Linked DNA regions of Notamacropus eugenii. The protein of the gene in region 1 interacts with the protein of each later gene in a biochemical or structural test. Links are inferred from orthologs where the notes say so. Each region holds a gene or a part of one and is shown on either strand. Other genes may lie near its edges.

Evidence for each region.
Region 2: the proteins of TNFRSF13B (region 1) and TNFSF13B form a complex in vitro, tested with the Homo sapiens proteins (3 studies listed by BioGRID and IntAct, with this or other methods). The link is inferred for Notamacropus eugenii from reciprocal best matches to the Homo sapiens genes TNFRSF13B and TNFSF13B.

The regions. Positions count from the first base shown.
Region 1 is NC_092874.1:378,465,346-378,469,267, forward strand, and holds the start of TNFRSF13B (tumor necrosis factor receptor superfamily member 13B), read left to right. Parts: upstream 1-879; 5' UTR 880-968; intron 969-3,922. UniProt on the Homo sapiens protein: Receptor for TNFSF13/APRIL and TNFSF13B/TALL1/BAFF/BLYS that binds both ligands with similar high affinity. Mediates calcineurin-dependent activation of NF-AT, as well as activation of NF-kappa-B and AP-1.
Region 2 is NC_092877.1:215,031,159-215,035,080, forward strand, and holds the start of TNFSF13B (tumor necrosis factor ligand superfamily member 13B), read right to left. Parts: upstream 2,427-3,922; 5' UTR 2,328-2,426; coding exon 1,968-2,327; intron 1,855-1,967; coding exon 1,755-1,854; intron 1-1,754. UniProt on the Homo sapiens protein: Cytokine that binds to TNFRSF13B/TACI and TNFRSF17/BCMA. TNFSF13/APRIL binds to the same 2 receptors. Together, they form a 2 ligands -2 receptors pathway involved in the stimulation of B- and T-cell function and the regulation of humoral immunity.

The DNA.
Region 1 (3,922 bases):
AATGGCAAACAGTGGATTTTATATTTGATCCTGGAAGTAATAGGGAATCACAGGAGGTTAGATGGATGAGGAGGTCAGATTTGTATCTGAGGAAGATCATTTTGATAGCTAAATGGAAGATGGATTAGAGCAGGGAAAGACTGGAGTCAGGAAGTATAAGGGCAAAGGTCCTGCACCAGGGGTGGCTGTGTGAATGTAGAGAAGGGGAGAAACAGGAGGGATGTTGTGAAGATAGAAACGACAAGTAGAAGACATGAGAGGAGGAAAGGCTGCTTGTATGGTGATGGGGAACAGTTTGTAAATGGTAAAGCAAAGTAAGAAATAGTCTGACTTCCCTATGATGACCATGAGTGAAAGTGGACCAGTACTGAAAAGGGTAGCCAGCAGGACAAAGTCACCAGAAGGGAGCCAGGTCCTGTTCCGACTCTTTGTGACACCATTTTGGGGTTTTCTTGGCAAAGATACTGGAGTGGTTTTCTCATTTCCTTGTCTAGCTCATTTGACAGATGAGGATACTGAGGCAAACTGGGTTAAGTGACTTGCCCATGGTCACACAGCTAGGAAGTGTAGGAGACAGGATCTGAACTCAGGAAGAAGATAAGTCTTTCTGACTCCTGGTACAGTGCTCCATCCACTGCACCACCTAGCTCCTGAAATAATGTGCTAGTATAGTACACTTCCCATAAATATATGTTGGACTTCGATCAGATTTGCTGGACAGGGCTAAGTTCCCAGCTCCAGTGTGCCCTAGAGTTTACGTGTGCATACATATGTATGCATGGGCAGGCCTGGGGCTGATTTACATATTAAAAGTTTGGGGGAAAAACCCAGGAAGCATACAGCATAGACACTAATCAAATCTAATGCTAATAATAAACCTACTGAGTAATGGGTAAGGCCTGGGACTGTAGTTCCTTGTGAGGGAGCAGAAGTAGAGCAAGGTGAGAGTCTTTTGCAGAAGAAGAGATGTGAGTATTTTACTAGACTCTTTGTGGGAAATCGGGGAATGGGGAAGTGGCTACATGGGAGTGAGAATGGGAGCGGGCAGTGAGGGAAGCAGAGTTGATTTGATGAAAATGAGATAGTCTGGGGAGCTGGGAGAGGCTCAGAGAGTATTTTAGGTATGGAAGACAGCCCAGAGGTTCAGTGGGGAAGAGTGAAGTTCCCACAGAGCTCAGCTGCCGTACATGGCTCAAGGCAGACGCCAGCCTAGAGGATTCTAATTATAACTTAGCACCCATAAAGAAGGCTATAGGATCAGAGATCGAGAGCTGGAAGAAGGGCCATCTGATCTAATTCTCTCATTTTACAGATGAAGAAATTGAGACTGACAGAGGTGAAAGAGCTAGCCCAAGGTCACATGGGGTAGTGAGGCTGAGATGAGACCCAAGGTCTCGAAATCCAAGTTTTTGCATTATACTGGACTAGAGAATGATTGGGAAAATTGCTTTCCAAAGCTAGACATGCTCTGTAAACACAAAGGATTATAGTCTATTAGTGTAGCCTGGGGAGCTCAGGGTAACCAAATTCATTCCTTCCCCTCCTGTCTCATGAAAGAAGGAGAGGGGAATGAGGCCTTTCTTAGTTTCAGCCTTGAAGGCTAAGTCTCAGCACTGCCATCGAGGGAGCCCCATCTTCCTTCTTTCTGAATCTTTGGAAAAGATAGGAACCCAAGGAGTCATAAACCATTAGAGCAGGAAAGAAGAAGAAAGAGAAATTCCAGGGAAATGGGAAATGTCAATCTTTTCTTTAATCTGCAGAAAGTTTAGGCAGTATTACTCATCGGCATGGTGCCTGCATGTCAAAAGTCAGACATAGATTTGAATCGATGGCATCTTGTCTTGCCATCTGTCTGTTTTACAGATGAGACACCTGAGGCCATGAAGGGTTAAGGAACTCCTCCGAGTAGGTAGCAAGCATCAATGGTGGAATTGGAACCCAAATTCTCAGAATGTTTTGACAGCACCACATCGACTCCCCTGGCTCACTTGGGTTAGAATTCTAGAAAACAATAGAGCTGGAAGGAGCCTTTGAGGTCATCTAGTTAGACAGCCTTCATTTCACAAAGGAGGAAACTGGGGCCCAGCGAAAGGAAGGGACATGCTTTACATCCTACAGCAAATTCACATCAGAGTCTCGGTTAAGTCCATGGGTCTCACCATACTCAGCCCGAAGCTCATTTCAGTCTAGGCTGTGTCTCTCAGTTTATACCTATGAGGCCAGGGAATGTTTCCTTTTTTCCTTTTAGAATTCCTATAGCTCACAACTTGAAAGACTAACAGGTACACAGAATGTACTCAAGTATTATCACTGAGGGAGGTGAATGGTTGTGAAGATATATGATGGCACAGCATAAAATGATCCTGTCCCGACTTGGACTTGAATCATACGTCAGCTCTGAATAACTTGTAGTGGCTTCATAATATACATACACAGAACTATATATATATATATATATATATATATATTCATATACACATTTTTATTTAGATAGACATACATACATAAACATATACAGATATATATGGGGAGGTAGATAAGCTAGATAATTGAGACTCTAGGCTGGACTCAAGTGTTCCCAACCTTGTAGTTTTCTGCCTCTGCTTTTAGGTGTTGGTTATTTTTAGCACAACAGAGCTTTGCCATTTTTTTTTCATGCAGCCAGACTTATCAGTCTTGCACCAAGGGCACATTCAGCTGGTGAGACTGCCACAGAGGATGGTGCATCTCAGGTACAGTTATAGCACAAGAGGAGATAGCTTATCTCCCAGAAATTATGGCCCATGCCCCAGGAGCATAGCCAACAGTCCTCAGAGCCTAGGAGAAGTTGGTAGAGGGGTATGGTAATGGTACAAGATGGATGCTAAGACCTTGAGGCCTAGGTTGGTGGTCCCAAGAACCACTAGTGGGAGTGAGTACCCACTCCACAAGATGTCGGCTCCCTGGAAAAAGGCCTTGGTTGCCCTGCTCTGGTTACAACCCTGTATTTGGCAAATGTGTGTGTGTGTGTGTGTGTGTGTGTCTGTGTGTGTGTGTGTGTGTGTGTAGATAGATGACAGACAGACAGATAGATAGATAGATAGACAGACAGATAAATAGATAGATAGATAGACAATGTTTTTAATGAATGGTCCAGATACTGAATGCTTTAAGTTCAGAGAGGTGGGAATTTTTTAAAATTAATTAATTTATTTTTAGTTGACAACATTCAGTTCCACAGGCTTTTGAGTTTTACATTTTCTCCCCCTTCCTCCCCTTCACCTTCCCCAACATGATGTGCAATCTGATATAGGCTCTACATATACATTCATATTAAACATATTTTCACATTAGTCATGTTGCAAAGAAGAATTATAACCAAAGGAATGAAGAGGTGGAGATGTCTATAGGCTGAATATGAAGGTAGGATTTGGTTAGGTGCTAACCTCCAGTCAACCACACACCTGAATTGGGTTTAAACCCACAAACTGCTTAAATACAAATTTCCATATAAAAAAGATCTGGGCTTACAGTGGGCTGTATCTGTATGCCCAATATGAGTCAGTGGTACAAGATGGTGGCCAAAGGTGTCATTTCCTTCTTAGGGGGTCTGAACAGAAACATGGTGTCTAGAGAGAAGGAGATGATAGGTGTTCCGTACCTTTGACCAAGCCACATCTGGAGTATTGTAACCAGTGTTTGTGGGAGGCAGTATGGCACAGTGGATAAGACACTAGACTGGGAGCAAGGAGGCCTAGATTTGAACCCTGCCTAAGACATAATAGTTGTGTTATATGGAGGGAAGTTGGTTGATAATTCAGTGCCTTTATTTCCTTATCTACAAAACGAGAATAATAAATGCCTACACAATTTACCTCCCTAAGTTGTAAGGAAAAGCATTTTGCAGTTTTGCAGCACAAGATAAATAAATTTGTTATTATGG
Region 2 (3,922 bases), on another chromosome or scaffold:
ATCAATCACTAAACATTCGTTTACTGTGTACTATGTACAAGTGACTCTAGTAGGTAGTGTAGAAGAACCAAGTTTTAACCTTCTCCCTTTCTCCTTCCTTCTTCCTGGAGCTTCTGATTGGATTCTATTGGTAAACAGGCAATACACATACAAATGTAACCAAGAGTGAAAAATACAATGTCATTAAGTGCCAAATGAGTATGACTTGTAAAAATGATAAATGGTAAAAGTTCAGGGTAAGGGAAGATTTATAATGATCTAGGGTGTTCAGGAAATGCCCCACAAAGAAGATATATTTTAAATTTGGACTTGAAAGCTTGATTGCATTTTATGAGCACATCTTTAAAAAGGGAATCACTGGGGTTTTAATAAAAAATGTGACCACAACCATTACATTTGAAGTCATACTTTGTCAACTCTAAAACATAAATTCCTGAATTATTGTAAAGAATTTTTCTGATCATGGGCAAATGATGGCTAAATGCAAAACGGTATAATTAATCTCTCAGATAAGGCATTGTATCTCTCTGGGCCTGTTTTCTCTTACGTTAAATTATACTGGATTTCACTTAATGGAAAGGATTCTAAGGTCATCTCTAAGACCCTGTGAGGCTGTAAGCCATTCTAGTAAATGCCTCATGGTTAGAAAAGATTAACTGACAGAAAAATAGAGACTGAACGTCTTATTACATTGGATTAGGGAACTCCCAGATGAGGGAACTCTGTCTATGAATGCAGGAAGGTATCTTCACTCTAAATAATAGCCTTAGAGAGTTGTTTAAAAACTAAGAGGTTAAGTGACTTTTACAGAATTGCATAGTCAGTACGTGTCAGACACAGGAGAAAATTCAGAGGCCAGATCTCTATCCATTTTGACACTTTGCCTCTCTAAGATAAGAAGATGTTTAAAAATTAAGGACTCCATGAAGAATTACTTTAAAAAGACTAGCAGTACATTCAGCTTTCATTGGAGAAACCATTAAAAATGTCTTAGGAGAAGCATTAAGATTAAAACAGTACACCTGTTTGGATATAAAGTATCACAAAATGGCGCATGGAGAGATGAGTATGTTTAGCCAACTCTCTGTCTCAGATAGGCACATTCTAATAATAGAGAGATGAAAGCATCTGAATGAAAGAATGAAAAACAAAACATTTATTAAGGGTTTTCTATGTGCCAAGCACTGTGTCTAGCATTGAGTATATATATAAATACAAAAGTAGAAACAGTCCCTAATTTGATTGTGGTTCCAGAATTGGAAAAGGGATAGGAAAGGGTGTGGTTTTATTAGGTGAGTCATGAGCAATGCTTCTGACAAAGTGGCCTTTATTTTATTTGAAGATTAAATAAACTGCTCCCTTTATCTCAAGCCCAGGTGAATTATTCCACCAATGAAATCTGTTATTTAGAAACATTAAAATACTGACTAGGTTATTGCAATCACCAAGAAGAGCTAATAGTAAAATAGTAAAAGAGGTTTTTTCCTTCCCTTCCACCATTCCCCCAGATGATTCCAGGGCCCTTGAAGACTGACTCTTAAATGTCTTCTTCATTACAACCTGCAACAAGTGAAGCAATCCTCGTAAAGGGCTCCCTTGTTTTAGCAACATAGCTGGTCAGGTTTTGTTTGCAGCTAGAAAATATGATCAGAGATCCAGGAAGGAAAATGAATTCACCTAATTTTCTCCAGTTTGTGCTATGGGTATATGCCCCAGTTGGGAAGTTTCTGAAACACTGCTTCCCCTCAACTTACTAGTTTCCCCTGAGTCCGGAACACCTCTTCTGCTTCTTCTGCTTTGTCTAAGGCTGATTTGGGGACTGCTTTCTCCTGTGATAGGGGGTACCCCAAGCTCCTGTTAATGGAAAAGACCCAGGTTATTTAAAAAAACAAAACTAAGCAGAAGTAAAAGAAATAGGAAGCATGAGAGCCCTGTAACCAGGGCTAGGCAGCTTCTTGGTAACTCACTTGTAGTCCTGTGATGGTAGCAGCTTCTGACTGGAGAATAGTAGGGTGTGTTCCTGCTTTCTCCTTCTGCAGGCCCTGAAGTTGCTCAGCCCTGCTCTGATAAGCCTGAAGTTCATGCCGGAGACTCCCCAACTCAGCCTGCAGGGTGAACACTTGGTACAATGAGACCAGTGCCAGGCCACCGGAGAGAAGCGTCAGTAGCAGAGTGGCTGACAGGAGCCCTCTTCTAGCTTGCCATGCAGAGCTTCTTCCCTGAGGAAGGGTGGGTGTACAATCCAGGAGTTTCATTTCTTCTCTTTTCTTAAGGCCAGAAGTGAAGAAGTAAATCTTAACTGCTCCTCTTTCTCTGTCGTCATCCATTTCTCTATTTGAACTTTGAGAGTTAGAGAAGGCAGAATAAGTGACCACATGGAATGGATCATTTCCTGTTAGCCTTGTTTGCTGATGTCCAGCACCGAGGGGATCTTAGAGCCTGTCTTGCCTCATCAGGAGGCCTCTCCTGAATTTTCTTCCTTCCTCTGCTATGCATCTCTCTAGTTACCATAGAATAGGTTTTTACTGGCGTTCCCTCTTTTATTTTATTGCACAATCAGCCTTCCTCTTTTCACTTTCAGTTTTTGTTATATGTTTTTATTGGCATCTCTCAAACTTCCAGGAGCAAATGGGCTCCCATAGCCCTTCTTTCTTAGATACAGCTTTGACCTTTGACTAAGAGGTCTATCAGGGGAAATGTTTTAGGTTCCAAAATAACAGATTAGTGTGTTTAAGTAGCCATATATGAAACCTTTATTAGACTATCTCTGGTTGGGCTCTGTCTACTTTAAGATAGATGAGGCTAAACTGGGACGAGTCCAAGGCAGGGCAATAAAACTAATGAATGATTAGGTGGGGTCAGCTAAATAAAGTACAGGGTCATTTTCTTGGGGGAATGATTCAAAAATAATCTGAAGCACTAAAACAGATGAAGGGTCATCATGTGAGAAATGATCATCAGCAGTTTTGATTCCATCTAACAGCATAAGTAGAAATGTTGAAAGATAGATTTGGGTTAGTTGTGGGGGGGGGCAGGGAGAGGGAGGGATCCAATATCCAGTATCCAATAATGAACATTTCCTGTAGGCTTCTGCATAAATTACTAATGGAGACATACTGAAGCTCTTTAGGAACAAGACACAATCACCTACTTGGAACAGATTCTTCATTGCTTTCCACATACACTATGTTCAGTGCCACCTCTACCCCTTCTCTTGTGCTGTTCTGCATCCTTTCCATTCTGGGGATTCCCTTTTCTCCTGGATGCCTATTCAAATCCTATCCATCTTTCCAAGTTGAACTCCAGGAAAACTTTCCAAATCACAGGATAAAAGAATCACAGACTAGGAATCAATGCCAAAAAAAACCCAGCAGCAGCAATAACAAAAACATCTTCAAACAACAAATATTTATTAAGCACCTGCTATATGTTGAGGCCTGGGCTACATGCTGTAGATACAGACACAAAGAATGAAATAGTTGGTATACACAAGGGGCCTACATTCTAATGGAAGAGACAAGTATATATAAAAATGCATATGACACAAATATGAAGAAAATTAAGAAGTTGTTTGTTGGTCATCAGGATAACTAATGTAAAGACCCCAAGAAAGGAAATGAAGTTTCCTGTATGAATAATATAGAGAATGCCAATTTGTCTGTTGTCTGGATCAGAGTGTAGGAGGAGAAATACCCTATGAATCTGGAAAGATAGATTGGGACCAGGTTCTATAGTGCTTTAAAAACTAACTTGATTTATATTTTATCTTAGAAGCAACAAGAAACCTGGAGTTGATTGGTTGATCAAGAAAATCACAGAATCAGATCCATGTTTTAAGAAAATTACTTTGGCATCAATGTATAGGATTGACTGCATTGGTGAGACACTGCGAATTGCAATTAGCAATAATCTAGATGAAAAA